3 linked regions of the Stegostoma tigrinum genome follow. Each later gene encodes a partner of the first gene's protein in a complex. Links are inferred from orthologs where the notes say so. Each region holds a gene or a part of one and is shown in the gene's direction. Other genes may lie near its edges.

What was found.
Region 2: the proteins of naa35 (region 1) and naa30 are in contact, whole or in part, in a cryo-EM structure (PDB 7MX2), measured with the Homo sapiens proteins. The link is inferred for Stegostoma tigrinum from reciprocal best matches to the Homo sapiens genes NAA35 and NAA30. Residues at the interface, in NP_001308810.1 of Homo sapiens: Leu45, Gly46, Leu48, Leu56, Ala59, Met60, Ala62, Glu64, Lys69, Glu121, Phe313, Pro314, Arg315, Ala444, Leu510, Glu511, Leu512, Glu517, Pro605, Lys606, Phe607, Glu608, Leu609, Asp610, Val614, Arg615, His618, Arg619; in NP_001011713.2 of Homo sapiens: Glu221, Pro238, Ser240, Tyr242, Thr243, Arg245, Tyr246, His249, Asn250, Lys304, Ile324, Glu334, Asn335, Leu336, Gly337, Val339, Arg340, Asp341, Lys342, Arg343, Phe345, Arg346, Tyr347, Tyr348, Leu349, Leu359, Trp360, Leu361, Arg362.
Region 3: the proteins of naa35 (region 1) and naa38 are in contact, whole or in part, in a cryo-EM structure (PDB 7MX2), measured with the Homo sapiens proteins. The link is inferred for Stegostoma tigrinum from reciprocal best matches to the Homo sapiens genes NAA35 and NAA38. Residues at the interface, in NP_001308810.1 of Homo sapiens: Val30, Asp31, Ile32, Thr33, Phe36, Ala39, Cys40, Leu43, Leu45, Glu47, Leu48, Leu49, His50, Asp51, Phe54, Glu58, Ala59, Ala62, Ile63, Glu64, Met65, Met66, Ala72, Gly73, Met74, Gln306, Arg307, Leu309, Pro310, Pro311; in NP_001307854.1 of Homo sapiens: Ala41, Arg42, Leu45, Glu46, Leu48, Leu49, Arg61, Phe67, Leu68, Cys69, Thr70, Asp71, Arg72, Cys74, Ile77, Arg97, Val98, Leu99, Gly100, Leu101, Ala102, Met103, Val104, Pro105, His108, Ser111, Ile112, Glu113, Val114.

Annotation. Positions count from the first base shown.
Region 1 is NC_081356.1:58,904,681-58,911,978, reverse strand, and holds the start of naa35 (N-alpha-acetyltransferase 35, NatC auxiliary subunit), read left to right. Parts: upstream 1-4,215; 5' UTR 4,216-4,303; intron 4,304-6,668; 5' UTR 6,669-6,673; coding exon 6,674-6,797; intron 6,798-7,298. UniProt on the Homo sapiens protein: Auxillary component of the N-terminal acetyltransferase C (NatC) complex which catalyzes acetylation of N-terminal methionine residues. N-terminal acetylation protects proteins from ubiquitination and degradation by the N-end rule pathway.
Region 2 is NC_081363.1:49,433,201-49,440,375, forward strand, and holds the start of naa30 (N-alpha-acetyltransferase 30), read left to right. Parts: upstream 1-4,158; 5' UTR 4,159-4,528; coding exon 4,529-5,317; intron 5,318-7,175. UniProt on the Homo sapiens protein: Catalytic subunit of the N-terminal acetyltransferase C (NatC) complex. Catalyzes acetylation of the N-terminal methionine residues of peptides beginning with Met-Leu-Ala and Met-Leu-Gly.
Region 3 is NC_081398.1:14,296,646-14,304,630, reverse strand, and holds the start of naa38 (N-alpha-acetyltransferase 38, NatC auxiliary subunit), read left to right. Parts: upstream 1-4,955; 5' UTR 4,956-4,969; intron 4,970-7,985. Other genes in the region: cytochrome b5 domain-containing protein 1, read right to left, coding at 779-997, 3,060-3,136, 4,452-4,881.

The DNA of each region.
Region 1 (7,298 bases):
CTCCACAAAGACTGTGTGGTGGTCACTCTTAATGATACTGTCATGGGCAGAAGCATCCGCAGTTGGCAGATTGGTAAGAATAAATTGAAGCACATTTTTCCCTCTTGTTGGTTCCCTCACCATCTGCCAAAAACCCAGTCTAGCAGCTAAGGCTTTAGGACCTGAATGGCTTGATCAGTAGTGCTGACAAGCCACTCTCCTCCAAACAGGGTACATTTTGCATCTTTGCCACCATCAGTACTTCCTCCAGACCCAACCCGAAACATCAACTTTCCTGCTCCTCTGATGCTTCCTGACCTGCAGTATTCCCCCAACTCTACACTGTATTGTCTCTGACTACAGTTCTTGCTATTTCTTCCTCCAAGTGTTGTTCAACATGGAGGAGTAGTGATTCATCAGCTGACTGAGGACAATGCATGGTAATCAGGAGGTTTCCTTGCCCATGTTTAACCTGAAGGCATGAAGCTTCCTAGTGTTCACCGACATTGTTGAAGACTTTTAGGGCAATTCCCTCCTGACTGTATACCACTGTGTCACCACCTCCACTACATCTGTCCTGCTGGTGGGACGAGGCATATCCAGTGATGGTGGCGTTTGGGACACTGTCTGTAAGGTATGATTCCATGAATATGACTTCATGAGGCTGTCACTTGGCTAGTCTATGAGATAGCTCTTCCAATTTTGGCACTTACCCCCAGCTTATAATAAGGAGGATATTGAAGGATCAACAGGGCTATTATCTTTTCCAGTACCTACATCAATGCCAGGTGGTCTTTTTGGTTTCATTTCTTTGTTGAGACTGTCTAGCAATTGATACAACTGAGTGGCTTGCTAGGCCATTTCAGAGGGCAACTGAGAATTAATCACAGTGCCATGGGTTTGGAGTCATACATAGGCTAGACCAGGTGGGAGATTATAGATTTCCTTCCCTGATGGACATTAGTGAGCATTATGCAAATAAATTGTGTTGAGGTAGAAGATTAGCCATGATCTCATTGAATCATGGACTGGGTTCAAAGCACTGCCCTACTCCTGTGCATCTTTTTTCATATCTGGTAAACATGAAAAGCACACTACAGAAATACTGTGATGCTTTAAAGGTCTGAGAGTCATTGAAAGATAAACATTTCTATCATGGACTCTGAAAGCTGTGTTTGAACTTCACTTTGAAATTCCACATACAGCACTTAGATACAACATCTTTATCACTCGGTCATCACAGCTGGGTAAAAGCACCCAGAACTATATTACTACCAACAGCCATATTCCGTAGAGTGTTGGTGTAATGTCACAATCTTTTTCACCCCAATTCTCACTGTGGCAGAATGTGTAGTGTTTCAGTTTGTGAAGATTCCAGCCTGTATGATATCATGGAACTTTCAGAAAGAAGCTAAATTTGAGTAGGTTATTATTATGAATGTAGTTGTGAGGGTTACCAGACCTTTAAGAGAGCTGGTCAGGTGACCCAGAGGAACAAATATTGAGTACAGTCCTGAACTGGTTGTAGAGGTGTGAGCATCATCAACAAAGTGTTCCTATTCAGATTTACCACTCATTTACCATGTGTATAATCCCTAATTCCAAAGGAAGCACCAATATAACAGATATTCAATAAGCCTTTAAAGGCTCAGAGTGAAAGGCTTCAGGAGGTTGAAAAAATGTTATATGGAGTGATCGGTGTAATTCCTTGCACTTTTCTTCATCAGACTTGTCACCTTATAAAGGCCATGACACCAGTGACTCTTGATGGGCAGAAACTTCACCAAAACTCAGGAAGGAGCTCCACCAGGGGAGGTGACTGAAGAAACTTTGCAATGATACTCCCTGTGCAAGACAGTGACAAGTGTAGTTAGCTCACTGTGGCTTGTCTCCTTTCTTGAATACAGTTGTGATAAGTGATTCTCAGAATACTTGTTATGTGCTATTTTTCCCAAATGAAGGACACAAGATTATGCAGTCATGCCAAGCGTCTCAGAATTTCAGCAAGGATTCCATCTGCCCAAGGAATTTTCATGTTCATGTTCTTTAGCTGTTGGATGGTTTTCTTTAAAAAAAAGCCTTTCAGTTCTGAAAAAGAGTCATGCCAGACTCAAAATGTTAACTGTATTTTTCTCTCTTGACACACGCTGCCATACCTGGAGAGTTTCTTGAGCATTATCTATGTTTGTTTTAAATATGTCTTCTTAGCATTTTCACAATCAGTGGCTGTAAGTATTAATGCACATGTAAGTTTGTATCCTGTGTTCCTTCCAGGCATATTCTGGTAATCATTGCCCCATTTCTAAACTGCTTTATTATCTTGTTATTTCCCTCTAATTTAAGTGAGAGGAGATGAAATGAATTGGCGTGATCATGATAATTTGCAGGGATTCCAACATTATCCCAATTAAACTGATGGACACTGAGACAATGAAAGCCATCAAAATGACTGGGGCAATGTGACCATCCTAGCTTAAGCCAACCACAGACAAGCATGGGAATTCCTAGGGGCCTGGTTTTCAACTGGTAAGGCAATCAACAAACATATGGAATTAGACCCCATACAAAAACCCATGCAGAACAGAATCAGAAATCAGACAACCCAACTTCACAGTCCTGATCATATAAATAACAAGCAGAGTAGAACAATATCACTTTATCAGAGGCCACACTGATTACTTTACCTAGCATCGTGATGAAACATCTGTATAATAACTAGCCAGCTTGGCAAGCAAGCCAACAACTTCATCCACAACCCAGGCTACAGATCTTCACAAGAGGTTAATATTGTTCCTAAGGCAGATTTCAAGGTCCCTTATGTATGTATTAAATCCCGCAGCTGATCATATGCAATATTGACACAAGCTAACACATGCATGATAAACATAAATCCAATTCGACTGGCCTGCATGAGGTAGATTGTTGATCGTAGGGCAACGAAGGATTATGTGGATAAGGTAGAAAAAGTGGAGGTGATGGATGTTGGATCAACTCTGACCCTACTGAATGGCAGCTCAGGCTCAAAGGGCCGAATGGCCTGCTCCTACTTCTTATTTATGGTCTTACTAATTGGTGATCCTGTCCTCAGAATTTAAAACAGCATTCTGGAGACCCTCCTCCCCAGATTGCACAAATATTAAAGTAAAACACAAGTATAAAAGCAATTTATCCACAGAATAAATTTAGGGTAATTCTCTGATTGATCCCATCAAAAATAGGAATGGGGATACAAAAGGCAAGAAACTAAGAACAAAAAAAAGACTGAGATAACAAAGTGTCGAACTGTATGAACACAGCAGGCCACGCAGCATCAGAGGAGCAGCAAAGTTGACGTTTCGGGTCTGAACTCTTCTTCAAAAAAAAAGACTATTCTTTTCTAATGGCTGAAATAGTTGTAAAATAATGGCACAACAAGGCTGACCAATTTTACTATCTACAACAATGTAAAACAAACTTAATTCTGTTCTACCTGATGCTGCCAGACCTGCAGGTCTTCATCAGCACTTTACTTTCGTCACTTCCCACAAGGTGGGTATTCCTTAACTGCGAATATGCGCTGGGTCTCGTATGAGCGCCCATGAGAATTTAGAATTTAATATAAGAACAAAAGCGCAAAGTGGCAGACAATCACAGGGCAATCGCACAGTGCCTACAAAAAAAATATTTTCTGCCGAGTTGCCAGCATCAATATGCAGCAGATGGAAACCATCGTTCGTGAAACTTTCAGCTGAATCAAATAAGAGTCCAGATCCATTGCACAAGGAGAACGGTGAGCAATCCCAATATCCTAACCCATTGAAATACTGATCAGCTCAGACAGCGACGCGGCTTGTTGTTGTGACCACACTTACTTTCATTGGCAGGGAATCCCTCAGGCTGTCAAAGGCACTTTACACATACAGTCTCTTTCTCTCATACTGATCTCGATGGATGAGTAATCTCCTGACAGACTCCAGAACGTCCAAGTAAAGGCTATGATAGCAATTAACACCATTAACCATTTACCTCCCCGGCTCTTCCGGTCCCCCCACCCCCACCCCCACCACCACAACCACGGCTGCCGGGGAGAATTCCGTTGCAGGAAATGGTCAAATTCACATTCCGCAGACTCGAGCTGGTCCTCGCGATAATTCGCTATTTGTGGCGCCGATGGGATTTGTAGTTCCAGGGAAATTTTCCAGACATGGCGTGGACGTTATTCCTGCCCAGGTCAGGACTACAGTTCCCAAAATGCGAAGCGCAGCGGCAGCCGAATGACGAACTTGAAGTATGGTTTCGGCTACCCAGGTCACGGTGATGTGCTGAAGGTAGCTTCACTCTCAAGGTAAGGAGAGAGGATGAAACGGTGCAATCTTCTGTAGGGAGAAGTAGTCATTCAGTTAGATATGCTTCATTCCGCGTACCTCCTCGAAAAATCATGTATGGAAATTTGAGCAACTGGTGACAATTTTCATCCACCTTCGACTTTACACGTATGGCCTCTGCAATGGATTAATAGTTGCATGAACGTGATTTAAAGAAAACCATAAAATATAGGAGCAAGATTGGGCCGTTCCGCCTAAGGAGTCGTCTTCGCCATTCTACTATGGTTGACATGTTTTTCAACCCCATTTTCCAGCCTTCCCCCTATAACCTTTGATCCCTTAACCAATCAAAAACCTATCTATTTCTGCCTAAACGCAGTCAAAAACAGCCTCCACAGCCTTCTGCGACAAGGAGGTCCACAGATTCACTATTTTCTGGCTAGAAATTTCACCATCCTCAGTTCAAACAATCATTTCTTCACTCAGAGGCTGTGCCCTTGGCTCCCGTTCTCTTCAATAGTCGAAACGTCTTCGTCATGGCCCCTCTTTCCAGGTTTGTCAGTAGCCTATAAGTTTTTCAATGAGATTCCGCCTCATTCGTCTAAATTCCATTCAGTAGAGACCCAGAGTCATAAACTGCTCCTCATAATGACAAGCCCTTCACCCCCAGGATCGTTCTTATAAACATCCTCTGATGTGGGAGGGGATCCAGCATATCCAACCTTTGATACAGGACTCAGAACTGCTTACAATATTCCAAATGCAGTCAGACCAGAGCCTGAGTGGTACATCTTGCTGTTGTATTCTAGTCCTCTTGAAATGAAAGCTAATATTTCATTGACCTTCCTAACCGCCAACTGAACCTGCATGTTAATTTTGAGAATCCTGATCTTTTACTGAAGCCGTTCCCTACTTAGAAAATAGACCACACCTCTATTCTTCCTACAAAAGTGCATAAACTCTCTTTCCCATATTCCATTCCATCTGCCACTTTGTTGTGCACTCACTTAGCCTGTCCAAGTCCTTTTGTAGTCTCCCTGCCTCCGTAACACTACTTGTACCCCCACCTATTTTTGTATCATCTGAAAACTGAGCAACAATGCCATCAGTTCCTCCTTCCAAATAATTGGAATGTATAACATGATTACTTATGGTTCCAACACTGATCCCTGTGGAGCTCCACTAGACGCTTGCTACCATCCTGAAAAAGACCTCTTTATCTCCATTCTCTGCTTCTGCCAATCACCCAATCTCTATCCAGGCCTCGAACACCACAAGCCCTTGTAGGTGAGTCTTCTGCACCGAAGGTAGGGGCTAATACCACTGCACCAAATGAGCCCCTCCATGGATGTTGTTATAAATGAATTTTCAGACCAAATTCGATAAGGTATCACCGTAATAGGTAGTTACTCATGATTAGAACACATGAGTTAATGGATAATGCATCAACATAGATTGGTTAACAGACAGAGATTAGTAAAAGCAAATCACTTTTAGAATGGCAATTTGTAACTGGTGAAATGTTTCCAAGTGTGAAGTGTTTAATATCTGTTGAATTATATTGCTTAAGAATGGGATAATTGACTCTTATCAGCCGGCTTGTTTTTTGAAGAGAATATCAATTGCTGAATGGTGAGAAGAGATGCCACTGCTGATCCTGATAGTATTGTTATGGTCTAAGACGCTGGAACAGGGAAGTGGTAACAGAATCTGGGGAAAAGAACATTTTAATTTGGTTTGTAGCATACTCCATTGGGCAAAGGAGAAAAGAGGGTCATCAATAATGATAAGCGAAAACTTTCACAAGTTCTATAATGGGGAGAAAGTGAGAAGCCATCTTCATCCAGAAGCAATGTGTGCCTGTAGAATTTTCATGAAATCTGATACATAGACATGGGAGGAAAGAAGTAAGAGGCCAAAGAGTTGCAAAATGTGGCCATTCCCCATTAATCTGTTTTGAGGCAGATGGAACTACTCGGGAGAAATTTTCATTCTTCCCATTGTGATGGTGGAGGATTGGGCAAGTTTGATTTCAGGTGTGTTGAATGAAGACCTCTCCTTCCCCCTAGCATAATGATTAGAGACAGTAATATTGAGAAACTGCGTCCTTCCAACACAGACCCAATCAGCCATGTCTTCCCAGCTTATCAATTCTGTATCTGCCTATCTATTGCTGTAATTAATAAAACAACAGTGCTTTCTCCGTGATAGTTGATACTGTCCTTGGAGGTCTCAGGAAAAGGTTGAAAATCTTTGTTATTACTGAGCCCTGTAGTGAAGACAAATCTTCGATTTGTGTAAAGGCTTCCAGTCAACAGGAAACAGAAAAATCTCCTCTGCTGAAGAATCTAACCCAATTTATCTTGTATGGTTTGATGTCCACAGTTATCATGGTCACTAAAGCATCTTTGGACGAAGACGATATTGGCTGGGGACTTGGTATCTCAGAAAAGATGGAAAAAATTAATGCAAACTGGGTTGACATTACCAAGCAATTCAAGGATTGCTGTAAAGGTAAATTTATAGATATTTTGTGCAATTTTCTTGTTGCTTATGAAGCTAGTGGAAGCATGGGTCCTTGAATATTTTTATGGCAGAGGTAGATAGATTCTTGTTAAGAAAAAGGGTGAAAGAATATCAGAAGTGGGTGGGAATGCAAATTTTGAGGTTGTGATCAGACCAGCCACAACCCTGTTGAATGACAGTGCAAGCTTGAGGGGCTGAATGGACTACATCTGCTCTTAATTCATATGTTTACTGAGAGTCTCCAAGCCACAACCCTGTTGAATGACAGTGCAGGCTTGAGGGGCTGAATGGACTACATCTGTTCTTAATTCATATGTTTACTGACAGTCTCCAAGAATCCATAAACGTAGAGTAAATATATTCTGTTTTTTTTTCCCCAACTACGGAACCTTTTCCAAATTTCTGCTTCTGTCCTTTTTAGCTCCCAAAATCTTTGTTTATTTTGGAGATCTTGGGAATGTGAGCATCACTAACATGGCACACATTAAT
Region 2 (7,175 bases), on another chromosome or scaffold:
TCCCCCACTGCATCCCAAAACCAGCCCAGCCTGTCTCTGCCTCCCTAACCTGTTCTTCCTCTCACCCATCCCTTCCTCCCACCCCAAGTCGCACCTCCATTTCCTACCTAACCTCATCCCACCTCCTTGACCTGTCCGTCTTCCCTGGACTGACCTATCCCCTCCCCACCTCCCCACCTATACTCTCCTCTCCACCTATCTTCTTTTCTCTCCATCTTCGGTCCGCCTCCCCCTCTCTCCCTATTTATTCCAGAACCCTCACCTCATCCCCCTCTCTGACGAAGGTTCTAGGCCCGAAACGTCAGCTTTTGTGCTCCTGAGATGCTGCTTGGCCTGCTGTGTTCATCCCGCTTCACACTTCATTATCTTGGATTTTCCAGCATCTGCCGTTCCCATTATCACTTCATCTCTATCCGGATTGCTTCTATATACTAATTTCCTGAGCTTAAGTCATCCCTCTCTTTTGTGTTAATATCATCTTTTTCAAGTTATTTCCTAACTTCCTGACCTTCCTAAATGTCATACAGCCTTCAATATTGAGGTCCCACTCCAGGTCATCCTGCAGCCACATCTCAATTATGACTGCTGGATTGTACACGTCTCAGTTTGTACTAGTTCATCTGTTTTATTGTGAATGATACATGCATTGAAATACAGTGTTTTAAGTCTTGTCCTGTTATTATCTTCAGTCTTAGCCGACAATCTGCTCTTGGATCTGCACTCTGTCCTTTCCTGTCATTGTTTGTTTATCATTTCCCACATCAATTCCTTCCTTTGTTGCCTTCCCTTTTTCCTCAATTCATAACTTCCCAAATACAACAGTTCCTGTACAGTTCAGTTGTAGATCCCTAATGGTACAGATCCCATTTTCTTCATTTGATCTACCCTTATACCAATTAATCTAAATTTTGAGTAAGATTTGTGTGTGTGAAGACCTATAATGATTAACATTTAAATATTTCTGCAGCCACAATGATCAGTATTAGAGACAGAGCACTTGGAAGCTAGTGGGGACTTGGTTCCATTGGGAGAATTATACGAGCACAGAATAAATTGTGCAGTGCATTAAACTTCAGTTAGAAGATTCTAGAAACTGGATGTTCTTTCCTTGGAAAAGCTTTTTAGTTTCAATTCAAGGTTTGGAGAAGTTTTGGCTGAAGTTGGACGTATAAGGCCGTTTCTCCTGATAAAGAAAAATAGCTTATTTCTTAATAGTTCTAAACTATCTGAATGTGAAGAGTTTATCTTTTAGGTTTCAGACCAGAAACATTAATTTAAAATCCTGAAGAGGTTATCAGAAAGTCTAAGCTAAGTTTTATGAAGAGTCAACTAAAAAGCTATCAGATTCTGAGGACAGGGAATTGAATCCACAATTTTCTTAAGCCCTACGGATGTGCCATAGAAGGGATTTCTCTTCAGTGAGAGACTGATTTATACTATCTTCATTTCTTTGCATAAATACTCCTATTTTATTGTTAAAACCAAACGTGCAGGGTTGCATGCTTGTGCTTCCATGACAGAACATCTTGGTTAAACCAAAATATGATCTTTCAAGCCAAATTTCAGTCTTGGTTCTGACTTGTGCAGTAGTAACATCAGCTGGGTTCACAGTAACATGAAGTGGAAGAGTTTATAGAAGTAGCGTGACCAAGTACAGTGCTGCTGTCCAAAAGGAATATAAATGGATAGAAGCAAAGTTAGATAAAGGAACAGATATTAAATAGCAAAGAGACATCAGGACATAAGGAGAAAGAGAAGAAATTTTACTGCAAGAAGAGTTAAAGTTGAAAGGAAGAGTAACACACTGCAGACTAACAGAATGACTGCAATGGGCACAAGAATAGAGAATACAGAATTGGGGCTAAAACAGATACAAGCACTCATGGAAGAACAGAGAGACAGCGTGAACTACACAGCAAATAGGACATAAGAGGGAAACAGGACTACTTAATAGATGAAACTCCTGAAACAGAGCGTCATGGAGTAGGGCACAAAATAGACGGTTCAAGAGCTGGCAAAATTGTAGGTAGCAGAGCAGTACATGAGCACTGATAGCTGGTCAGAAGCCCATGGCTCTAAGGCACCAAAGGTATTTCTGAAAAGCAAATTATTAGTCCGCCGGCAAATAACAAGGTTAGCATTGGAGTGGGATTGAGCTCTGGCAGTTGAGGCACAATAAACTGAGCAGAAATTACTGAACACCAAAACAATACATCATTGGATAGTTTGAGAATGGGCCAAAGTAACAATAAATGGAACAACTGAAAAATAAGAATGTCACTTCAAAAATTATTATTCATCATTTTAAATAATTTCATGATTTTCATTATCATTTTTTTTGCCTAAGATAAGCAAGTTTAGATAGTTGAGCTGCTTCAATATACCAGAATTGAAATGCTGAGCCATTCTTAACTCTCTTCATATGGGGTCAGCAGCTCAGTTCGAGCAAATTTGAAACAACATAAACACAGTACAGTTGAACCTGAGACAGTGGCCACAGAAAGCTTGCAACCAGTTACTAAGAAAGTATAAACACATAGACTGTGCTTACTTTGCAAAACACATTTGATGCCATACTTGTTGACCTACATTTTTATAAAGCAAATTATTCCCTCAGGGTGTGTTGTTTATTCTTGAGGATTGCAGCTAACAGGGGAATTATGCATTTCCTGTTAAATGTATTCTTATCATCTAAAAAAAACTTCAGAAATCTCTGAAAAATCAATTGTGGAATAACAAAAGCAGATGAAAGACAGCAATACTCTGCCCGTAACCAAGTAGTCTCCATTAGGGTTATTTCTCCTTGAAAGATATTTGAATGGTAGAGCAGGCTTGAGAGGTTGAATGGCCTTCTCCTAATTAGTGTGTTTGCTAAATCAAATTTTTCAGCCCTGAAAAAAATGTATCCCATTTGAACTTCATTGTTTTCTCCACAAATGCCAAAACAATATAACACCTCAGGCCCAGAACCATCTCTATCTCTGGCCTGTGGTGTATATATACGCACAACATTTTCTTACTGTTTCCTATAAATAAGTGCATTGTGGAAAGGTGTTTCACTGTGAAATGGCATCCTTAAATCTGCACTCATTTAAACTTTACTGGATATAGATTTTAGATTTTAATTAGGCAACGATGTTACCCAGTGGGATATGAGCATAATCCACTGAAATTCATCCTTCCAGTGTTTTAATTAAGCACTTAACACACTTATTATGAATGTTTAGTAGAGAGGGCGCCTTTGAATGAAATCCTGCAAGCTTGCGTCCCACATGTTTCAGCAACAGCGAATGTTTTGATTCCGGTGAATCGGTGTCAAAACCACTTTTTGTCAGGTCACAGTGGTCAGCCCGCATCCGCATATCCAGCACCTATCACTGTTTCACACAATTGGGCTGATACTTTCAACACCAATTGAGGATGCGACAAAAACACCTGGGGTTTATACTGAGAGATAGTAAGAACTGCCGATGAAATCCGATGTGCAAGTTGTATTAGCGTGTTTGGAAAAGGATTCGTTCGGGAGCATTTTAGGCCAGTCCCTTGTATATTTGACAGTTACCCAGCTTCAGCTACAATAGCTGTGAAAATATACACTTAAGGATGACATTTTAAAAGAGAGCAGAATGAAGAAGGGTCTCGACCCGAAACGTCAGCCTTCCTGCTCCTCTGAAGCTGCTTGGAGTGCTGTGTTCATCCAGCTCTACACCTTGTTATCGCAAATAATAAAACACGTGTTTCACTAAAATCAAATAAATTCTAATTTTGGATTTGAGGCTGACAGAAGACACAATAGCTTAACTCACAAACTGCAATATGAAGAAAGCAAAGGCTCAGTGGACACAAAATGGCACTTGCAGCTAGGGAATGATTTAAACAGTTTCCAGAGGCCAAACTCACACTAGAAACAGAAACAGAAACATAATCACTCATCAGGGAGGGAAAGATTACGGCTGCATTTAGCTCAATGATATTTACTCAGAACTACACAAACTCCTATCTTCTCCCCAAGAACACAAGGGCCATTCGCCAAAACCTCACGTCAAATCCTCCTTCCCGACGCACAATCGGCGTCGGTTAAAGGTCAACGTCGTAAAAACAACTTTCAGGGCGAGACGGGAAGCCGCATTTATGACGTAGATGGGGCGGCGGGGCCGCGCGGCAGCCTCACTTTACGGCAGTGCCTAGGTTGAGAGTGGAAACGGCCTCGAGTGGCTGGCTGTATGAGGGAGCAGGCAGTGGCCGGCTTCCTCACTTCGGCAACGAGTTGATTTCTCTCCCCCTCCCCTGCTCCCACCCTGCCTGACTGTGTGGATGTCGGGCCCTGCTTGACAGGTCCCGGTCCTGTGCAGCCTGGCCTGGTGTGGTCCGGCCGGCTGTAGGATGTGTGAGTGCTGAGGGCGGGCGGTGAGTCCCCTCCTGGTTACCCCCCCCCCCCTCCCGCCCCGTTCTCCCGGTTAGATCACTCTCTCTCTCCCCCCGCTGCTTTTGGCCCTCATGCCGACCCTGCGTTTCTCCGCTCTTTAGGATGTCTGATGTACCGCCCGGGCCTAGCGTGCTGTCCCCAGCCCCCAGTGACATCTCGCCCCTCTCCGCTACTCTCAACCACTCGGGAGCGTACGGCAAGGTCCCGGGGCAGCAGCCAGGAGGGGGCGGCGAGCAGGAGGAGGAGGAAGCGACTGCTGTGGACGGGGCTGGCCAGGAACGCGGCGGGGAAGGCGGACCACATTCGGCGAACAGTGTCGGAAACTGCCCGGAGCCTAACCGAGCCAAGAAGGGCGTCCTGCACCTTCACCACCATCATCACCACCACCACCACCACCACCACCAACAGCAGCAGCGGCTGCTCAACGGCTGTGTTATAAACCCTGAGCTCCACTACAAGGCGGAGTGCAAAGGCCGCCTATCCTGCGCTGAGGCCGCCACTGCCGTCGAGTTTCAGTCTGGACTGTCACTCTCCGAAGGAGGCAGGAGGAAAGCCGACGGCAAATATTGTGAGAGTCCCAATGTGAATCATGCGAGCCAAAGGACTGCCGAGGCGGCCGGCCCTGACACACTCAACCCCAGAGATGGACTCGACCGGATTGGTATCGGCCCAGATGACGATGAGCAATACCGCCTGGCCGCCTCGATAGCTGCTTGTAGTTTGCACCCGCAACAAGAGCCCGACTCGAACGACAGGATACGATATGTTGGCTATGAGTCAGAGTTGCAAATGCCAGATATAATGAGATTGATCACGAAAGATTTGTCTGAACCTTATTCCATATATACATATAGATATTTTATTCACAACTGGCCGCAGCTTTGTTTTCTGGTAAGTGTGGTATGTTGGTAGGGGACTATGTAGTATACGTATGTATATCGAGAATAATGCGCTTAATAGAAAAGCCTGTGAAATGTCCCGAATGTAAGACCTTATTTTTTGTAAGCACTGAAAATGAGTTGCCAAGGAAAGGTCACTTTGGCATTTTGCATGCTGATTCCCACACTTTCAGTTGCTATCAATAGTCGTCATGTTAATGAGTAGTTTTATTTTTGTAAGCATCTAGGCTTTGAGAACTTGCGTTGCAAAAGAATGAATTTGCCATGCTATTTATAGTCCTCAATGTGACAAATAACCTTGACTTTGCAGTTCTGATTCATGTGAAAGACTAGATGGAGAGTTCAAAGGCTTGTTCTAAAATCCATTGAAATTGTGGTATATTATTAAACTTAAATTTGCTATACTGACAGACTTTATTTAAGTAGCACTGTTGTTAATGCCACATCGTCTTAGGATGACTTGAATTGCTGTAGCTACTATAGATGAAACTCATAACGTAGAAATTGTTTCACCTCTCGGCCTTTCTGCTTTTACCTGAAACACCACTGTGAACAGTGGAGATGATTTGAATGTTTGTTTTTATTCGGTGCAAAATATTTATAATCTTATTAGACTTCATTGGTGACTACAGCATGGAGACTTTCTTTGAGTTTTTTTAAATTGCAAGCCGAAAATGTGGCACCTCGCTACTTAACCATACTTGTTTCTTTTTAGCATGGCATTATGATTTTCTTGAGAGTTTGATAACTCTTAAAAGCAAATAGAAACTTGCAGTTAATAACATAAATAATGACATAAGTTTTCATATTTAAGACCATTACTTAAGTAAAGATTATTGACAATGTTGATAAATCTTTGTAGAAAAGTGATCTTCTATGCCACAAAACAGAGCATTCCCTGTTTTTCTTTAGCACAACCCAAAACACTGTTTACAGATATCTTTTTGTAAGTATACACTTTTGTAGGTGTATATATTCAGTTCTTCCAGAACCAGTCCAGTGATTTTTTTTTTTAGCTCCTGAAAGTTTACTTCTAATTCTTTCTCAGCCTGGGAACTGTTAAACTCAAGACTTTCTTTCGCAGTGAGCTACATTTCTCATTTTTCCTGTTGTGCCAAGTGAGCCCATTCTTTCAATCTGTTTCGAGTTCCACATGAATTCAGCATTTTTGATCTAAGTGAGAGCCCTCACGTGTTGCTGTGTGTTGAACCTCAGATCTCACTGCCAGTAGCTGCTGTTTCTTTGCAGGATTCTGTCACACTCAAGTTATGCCGTGAGTTGCTTGAGAATATCAGGGAGATATTAGAAACTTACCCAAACAATTCCCCTTGTATTTTCTAAGAGATCATCCTCTGAAAATTTTCAAACCCCAGAATTGAACCCAGAAGGCTTACGGTGCCTGATTGAAAGAGATGCTGATCATCTTGCTCAGAGTTTCGCTGGAACACTAGTAGGCCAAAGGCAGCACTGTAAGCATGAGGGCAAAGTGGAGAATTAAAATGATATGCTATTAAAAACTCAATTATGCTTGCTTGAAGTAAAGAATTTCGCAAAGTAGTTGCTCAAAAAATGTTTGGTCTCCCCAGCACAGATGAAATTGTAATGTGAACAACAAACACCTGTTTACATATTTTCAATATACTGAATTGAAAGTTGTCACATGAATCATCCTGAACCATCAGATTTATGTCAGTAACATTTTTCCAGAGATTCAAGGCAGTTTTCAACCTTCAAAGGTAATCTCAAAACGCTATCTTTGGCACTCAGTAAATCCTAAAAATTTGTGGGCAACAAATTCAGAGGTTTATGTAAGCTTTATTGATCTGTCACAGACCTTCGCCATGAATCAT
Region 3 (7,985 bases), on another chromosome or scaffold:
AGTTTTCAACAAAACTGTTTACCTCTATCTGGTGGAAAGCAGAGTCAACACTGCAGCTCCCCCACCCCCACATCCAGTCCTGAAGAAGTGTACTACCTGAAACGTTGACTGCTCCTTTCCTCCAGATGCTGCCTGGCCTGCTGCATTCTTCTAGCCTCCTGTTGGTCTACCTGGATTCCAGCATCTGCAGTTTTTCTTGTCTCTAACTATGTTTACCTCTACCATTTGGTATTCTTACACTGTTGGGGTCAGCAAGTCCTCCTTCGCTGAGTTACTTAGCAGTCTCAATCTTTTTCTTGCAGGGATAAATCTGTACACTAGACCGGTGTCTCTGAGAGCTTCTCCCTCAGGGAGCTATACGTACAATGATTGGTGTCTCTCAGTCATTCACTCTGCAATCAGTCATGTTTCTGGAGGGTTTTGTTTAACTGCTGAATGTTTGGATGTAAGACTCTGCACCATTTTATGTGTCACCTGAAAACAGATGGTTTGAAATATTGATCAATTGTCAGAACACATTAGTGACTTCAGCTTTCCTGAAAGCAAACCCTGTCATGTGACAACCCCCCTCCATCTCAATCAAATTCCTTCCTAACTCAAAACAAACGCCAGTTAATTTTTTAAAAATGAAGAAGTGCATATGTAGCAAATCAGAAACAAGACAAAATTGCTGAAAAAACTCAGCTGGTCTGGCAACATCTGTGGAGAGAAAGCAGAGTTAATGTTGTTAGACCTGCTGAGTTTTTCCAGCAATTTCTGATTAATTGAAGCTGCATACCTCAATCACCTGTTCTTGACCTGTTAGCGTGTTGATAATACGGATATCTCTTGTTTTTTCAGTTAAATATCCAACCTCATACTTTGGATCCTTCCACCATGGCGTCCCAAAGGCATTAGACCAATCACTCATTGGCATGAGGGGTGGAATGTGAGCAAAGCGTCCACGAGGAGTATGGTACTTCTGGCAATTGGCGAGCTGGTCAATCTTGATGCGAATCTACGTTGGGAATGAAGAGATTCCTGTTCATTGCTCCATTATTATGGTACATAGTGCTGCTTGCTATTTTGTGGCCTGTTCCCCCTCCTCTCCAGCTGACAATTTTACACAAGACTAAGTTATATCTGTGCCCAGAGTCCTTCAATGCTCCTAGTCCAGCTCTGTGGCTTAGTGGTGGGTGGTGGTAGTGGTTGGGGGGGGGGGGTTCATTTCTGTCAGGAGGATCGGGTCACAGAGACTTATAGGATTACAGAACAGTGACAGCAGAAGGCCATTCAGCTTATTGTACTGTGCTGGTCTTCTACACAAGCAATCCTGCTAGACCCCCTCCCCTATCTTTACCCTAAGATGTCCAAATCTTTCCTTTTCAGAAAATGTTTCAAATTTCTTTCGAAAACCTCACCTGAAATTGTCTCTACCACTGTCAGGCAGCACATTCAAATCCTATCCACTCACTGTGTGGAAAAGGTATTCCTCTTGTCACAATTGCTTCTTTCACCAACCACTTGAAACTTGTACCCTCTTGTTATTGATACCTCCTCCAATGAGAAAAGTTTCTCTCTATCCTCTTGATTAAATCTTCTATTAGCCCTTTCTTCTCTATATTTTTCCAATCTCCCTTCGTCACAGAGATTCCTCATTCCTAGAACCATTTTTGCCCTTTCTCACTAAAGCCTTTAAATCCTTCTTAAGTGCAGCTCCCTGAATTGAAATCTGGTTGAGACTGATGTTGTGTTCCATACAGGTTATTATCACAATTTCCTTGCATTGAAGGAATATGAGAAAATTCCTCATTGCCTCCAAAACACCAAAACTCGGCCCTCAGCTGACTGAGGAGAAGAGGATCCAAAGACTAAAATTTCAAACCAGACTAAGGTCAAATTTTATTGGGCAGCAATGATCTCCAGGCTCCCATATGCTTTGGCGACTTGCACAGCATACAGCCAGCACCTCACAAGACTGGAGAAGCACCACCAGCATGGCCTTCATAAGAGTCTCCAAAACCTGTGGTGACACTGGGAATCCAGCAGCACACTGAGGCATTAATTAGTCCAAACCAGCTCCCGTAGGTAGGACATGCCATTTATATCTTTGGCAGCTGACTCTGGAAATCACTACACTATTCGGAGCAGCAGAAATGCTTTAGGGTGGTCCTCAAAGCCTCCCCAAAGTGGTTATACATTCCCTCCACCATAGCCTTTCTTCACCTGGCGTGCGACCAACCGAAATGGGGCAGATTCAGTTGGGAAGGCGCTAATACGCTGAGAGGGTTCATTGGGAATGTCAGATGCCATGCACAAACTTCACAACAACCCAAAATGTTCAACCCAATAGGTGCACATCTAAATACTTCTTCAACGTAATGATGGTTTCTGTCTCTACCACCTTTAGAAGCACTGAGTTCTAGATTCCCACCACTCTGTGGGTGAAAATCTTTCTCCTTACATGTCATCAAAGCCCTTACCTTAAATCCTCCCTGGGCATTGATCCCTCCATCAAGGGGAAAAGTTTCTTCCTGTCTACCTTATCTACGCCCCTCATAATTTTATACACCTCAATCATGTCCCCTCTCAATCTCCTCTGCTCAAAACAGAATAGTCCCAGTGTGTCCAATCTCTCTTCATAACTGAGACTCTCCAGCGCAGGCAACAACCTGGTAAATCTCCTCTTCACCTTCTCCAGTGCTATTATATTTCTTCTGTAAAGCAAATTCCAGAGCTTCGCACAGTACTCTAGCTTTACCAATGTTTTATACAGTTCTTTTTAAAGCACAGGAACCTGGTCAACATTTTGTGTTAGATTGATTCCATCAGAGAGATAAACCAGGGAATTTGCATGCTTTGATTAAATCATTAAGTTCTGTAACAACGCAGTAGTGGATTTTGAGAATCAATGTACTTTCCCAAGTATGCTAAACGCCAGGTTAAATATGGATAGGGCGATGCTGGGTACTGTAGTCCCTGGTCAGATGGTGAATTATTAAAATTGTTGCTAAAATGCTTTGGTTGATGCTCATTGTCTTCAGTTTCATTTCCCCTGGCAGCTGAGATTCCATACTTACATCTTTACGCTTCTCATCAAACCAGTGGCTGATATCATGTCCAGCTGCTTCTAAAATGGGTTTCAGTAGAATGTCACCTGGATAAGAGGGAGAATACAGAATCAGCACAGCCTGGATATAGCACAAAAGATACTGTCTGCCAGCTATATCTTCTGAAAGGTATCTACAGATGTAAATGAAGTGCTTTCCATGCCATCAATTTTGAACCCCGAATGGCCAATTAAACCAGGGCCAACAGGGAGGAAAGATGCAAAATTTCGAGGTCATCACTAAAAGAAGATTTGTATTGACATAGCGCCGTTCATGACCATTGGAGTCACAGGGTCGTACAGCCCCCCGGCAGATCAAAGTAATTTTCAATCAATAAAATATTTTACAGTACATTGTTGTTGTTATGCCAGAATCACGTCATCTCATTTGTGCACAAGAACGTTCCACAGACAGGAATGTGATAATGGCCAGATAATTATTTTTTAAACTATGTTGGCTGGAGAATGAATGTTTGCCACAGGTCTCTAGGGAGAGTCCCGTCCCTCCCCTCCTCACAGCTCTGCTTTGAAATAGCAGCCACAGGATCTTTTTCAAGGGCAGATGGGGCCAACTCCCATTTCCCCACCACCCACTAACCTAAACTGCCTGCTGGTCCAGATTTTAAAATTCTCACTCATTGTTTTCAAATCCCTTTATGGTTTCGTGCCTTCTCTGTAACTTTGCCACTCTCTTCACCCCTTCCCATCTCTGTAAAGTCCTCCAGCCCCTACCTCCCTCCCAAACTCTGTGACCCCCTCGAGTCCAAAATTTCTACACTCCAACAACCAATACAACCCTTTCGTGCATCCCCCGAATCCCAGTACTCCACAACTGGAGGCTGTGCCCTCAGCTACTGGACCCCAAACTGTGGCATTCCCTCCTTAATCCTCTCGGGGCTTTGGTCACCGGCTGTAATCTTTCCTTGTGGTTTAGGCATAGAACCACATAGGTTCAGTAATTGCTCGCCTGAAAGTTGTTCCTTTGACCACAAGAAGGGCTCAAGTTGTCGTTGTGGAGGTTGATGCCGGGCTGAGTGATGAAGGTGGTGCTTCACAGTGCCAGGGATGCAGGTTTGATTCCACCCTCGGGTGACTGTCTATGTGGAGGTTGCACATTCTCTCTGTGTCTTTGTGGGTCCCCTCTGGGTGCTCCGGATTCCTCCTACTGTCCAAAGATGCAATGGTTAGGGTGGATTGGCTGTGCTAAATTTCCCAGAGTGTCCAGAGATGGACAGATTTGGGTGAATTAGCCACAGGTATTGCAGGATTACAGTGACAGGGTGGGATGCTTTTTGGAGGGTCGGTATGGACTTGTTGGGCCGAATAGCCTGCTTCCACACTGTAGAGATTCTGAGCTCTTCACCTTTAAACTGTTCGGCTAAAGGGGTCAGGTCATAGACTTTTCCCAAATAGGAGACCCACAAATCATTCATGGTGTTATGGACAGCCACTTCCCGACTGCTGTAGTAGCGGGAGTGCAGCATGGTCGTGGGGTGCTTCGCTCCTCCTGCTACTGCTGCCTCCTCCGTCGCCATGGTGATAGTAACAGGAAGTGGCTCGGGGTACAACTTCCGGTCCTCGGAACTACATCTCCCAGGGGGAAGCGGAAAAGCTGGGTTTTTTTTCACCAAAAAAACCGCTGGATTTTTAATGCGACGCCGCCGCTGCAGCTTTTCCTTCACAGCTGCTTTTCGTGAGTAATTTTGCAGCGCGGGGACTGCGCGGTGCATGAGGCTCGGTTTGAGGCAGGAGAAAGCGGCAATCTGTGCACTTCTATCGTTTTCTTTTAACATGCCTTAAAATGGCGGCCGGAGCTGAGCGTGGCCTCGCCTTGAGGGGGTGGAGGGACAGGGACAGGGACAGGGACAGGACGCGGGAATGGTGAGGGAGGTGAGGTGTTGGTTGGGGGATGGTGCCCAGAGCCGGGGGGGGGGGGGGGGGGGGGGTGATTGTGGTGCCCAGAGCCTGGGGGGGTGATTGGGGTGCCCAGAGACCGGGGGATGGGTTGCCGGGGGCAGGGGTACCGGGGTGGGGGGCATGGTTGCAGGGGGCTGGGATATGAGGGGGGGAGGGGAAGGACATGGTTGAGGGGGCAGAGATACCGGGGGGACCTGGTTGGGGGGGGGGGCAGAGATATGGGAGGGGCATGGTTGGCAGGGGCAGAGATACAGGGTGGGATGGTGAGGGGGGGAATAGAGAGGGGGTGGTGGGGGGAATGGTGAGGGAGGTGGAGGGGTGGGCAGAGAGATGGTTGGGGTGGGGAATTGTTGGGCGGGTGCAGAAAGATGGTCCCGGTGGGTGGGGACAGAGAGACAATGGAGGGGGAATGGTGAGGAGGTGTACAGGGAGACGGTGGTGAGGGGGTAATAGAGAAATGGTGAGAGGGGAACGTGGACACAGTTGGGGGGGGTGAATGGTGAGGGCGTGACAGAGATGGTGGTGGGGAATGGCAAGGAGGTGGAGCCGTGAGGGGGCACAGAGACACGGTGTGGGGGAGTGGTTGGGGGCTAGAGAGATAGTAGGGGTAGGGCGGGACAGAGAGAGACAATTGGGGGGAATAGTGAGGGGGGGGTGTACAGAGAGATGGTGATGGGCAGTGGTGAGGGGGGGGTACAGAGAAATGATGAGGGGGGGGACAGGGACATACTGAGGGGGGTGAATGGCGAGGCGGGGGGCGGTTCCAGAGAGATGGCAGAAGGGGGAATGGTGAGGGGGGTGACAGAGAGACTGGAGGGAGTTTGCTGAGGTTGGGGGTACAGAGACATAGAAGGGGGAATGGCGAGGAGGGGTTTGGCAGAGAAGCGGGAATGGCGAGTGGCGGCCAGACGGCGGGGGGGAATGGGGGGGGACAGAGATGGGGTGGGAGGGTGGGTGGCGACAGAGACAGTGGGGACATGGGGTGGGGAGTATGGTGGGGGTTGTACAGAGAGACGGTGGGGGAGGAATGGAGATGGTGAGGGGGCAGAGAGACTCTTGCGGGGGGGTAAGGGAAATGCGGAGGGAGTTGGGTGTCGTGGAGACGGTGGTGGGGTGGTCAGGGAGACAGGAAGGAGATGGGGTGGCGGGGGTGGGGGGAGTCGTCTTGGGGAGAGGAGAGAGACAGCAAAGGTGATAAATGAAATAACTCCATAAAGGCTGATATCCCGTCACCAAGTCACCCTTTTTATATGTATGTGTACAGCACTGTACGCTGACCCAGCGTGCTCAAAGCCAGCTCCAAGAATGACCAGGTCCCGACCCAAAACATCAACTTTCCTGCTTTTCTGCTGCCTGGCATCTCTCACACTCCTGTATATGTCTGTCATCCAGGCTCTTGATTGGATCAGGTTAACAGTGCCAAGGTTTTACATTAGATTTGTAGGTTGGGTTGTGGATGCTGTGGTTGGTTGGCTTGCTGAGCTGGTTTGTTGTTTTTCCACAGACATTTCATTACCCTACTGGGTAATATTATAAATGCAGCTTCCAATGAAGCACAGAGATAATGGGAACTGCAGATGCTGGAGATTCCAAGATAATAAAATGTGAGGCTGGATGAACACAGCAGGCCAAGCAGCATCTCTGATGAAGGGTCTAGGCCCGAAACGTCAGCTTTTGTGCTCCTGAGATGCTGCTTGGCCTGCTGTGTTCATCCAGCCTCACATTTTATTATCCAATGAAGCACAGTTGTGTTTTCCCACCTGTTGTTTAAACTGTCGGGTCCACTGAGGTGGATTACCTCACTTCTGAGTTTTCCTTCGCTATGGAGTATAGAAGAGATCTAGTTCTATGTGTCTGTTGATGACTTTCTTGGTGGAGTTCCAGGCTTCTAGGAATTCCCGTGCTTGTCTCTGCTCTGCTTGTCCCACACTCTCCGACACACTTGTCACGGTACCTTACGCATCGGAACTAACCACAAGACTGAATGACCACTGGGCATCAGAGTAGCACACAAACCCACATCAACTCTACGACAATTGCTCAATCGAGCGAAAGACCCATTACCCACAATGGACAGGACCAGTGTCATATACAAGATTCCCTGCAGAGACTGTGACAAACACTACGTCGGACAAACAGGAAGGAAATTAATTTGGGTGCATGAACACCAATTGGCTACAAAAGGACATGACCAATACTCACTTATCTCTCTCCGCATGAATAAGGAGAACCACCAATTTGACTGGGACAGCATCAAGATCCTGAGACAAGCAAAGCAGGGACAAACACGGAAATTCCTAGAAGCCTGGTACTCCATGAAGAAAGCCATCAAAAAACACATAGAGCTTGACCCCATAGACACACCACTGTGAAGAAAATCCAGAAGTGAGGCAATCCAGCTCAACAGACTCCAGAGTTTAGATAATAGGCGGGAAATCACAATGGCGCTTCGTTAGAGGCTGCACCGACGATATTACCTAGCAGGGTAATGAAACGTCTGCGGAACAACAACGAGCCAGCTCGGCGAGCCAACCAACTACAACATTAACAGCCCCAGTCAGGGAACTATTTTATCAGGTCCACCTGGCTGACCTCATTCAAATCAGTAAGCTGAGGGGAGAGAGAGATGATGGAAAGATGGCAGGAACTGAGGTGTGATGGAATTACTGGGGCATGGGGGTGAGTGGTAGTGGAGTGTGAATGGGGGAGATGGGCTGGAGGGCTTTCTGGTTTGTGTTGGGGAGATCGGCAGGGGGATTGATCACATTGGCATGTGATGGGGGAGTTGGGCAGAAGGACGTAATGGGGTGTGATCATGAAGATGGGACGGGGTAAGGTGGAAATTGGACCAGAGTATGATGAGGCAGACCTGGCAATGATTGGACATGCAAAGGAGTGAGAGAAGGTGAAGGAAATAGGACAGGATGAAACCAAGGGATTGGGTGAGTTGGAGAGGGCAGGAAGAGGGAGGGAACTGGGA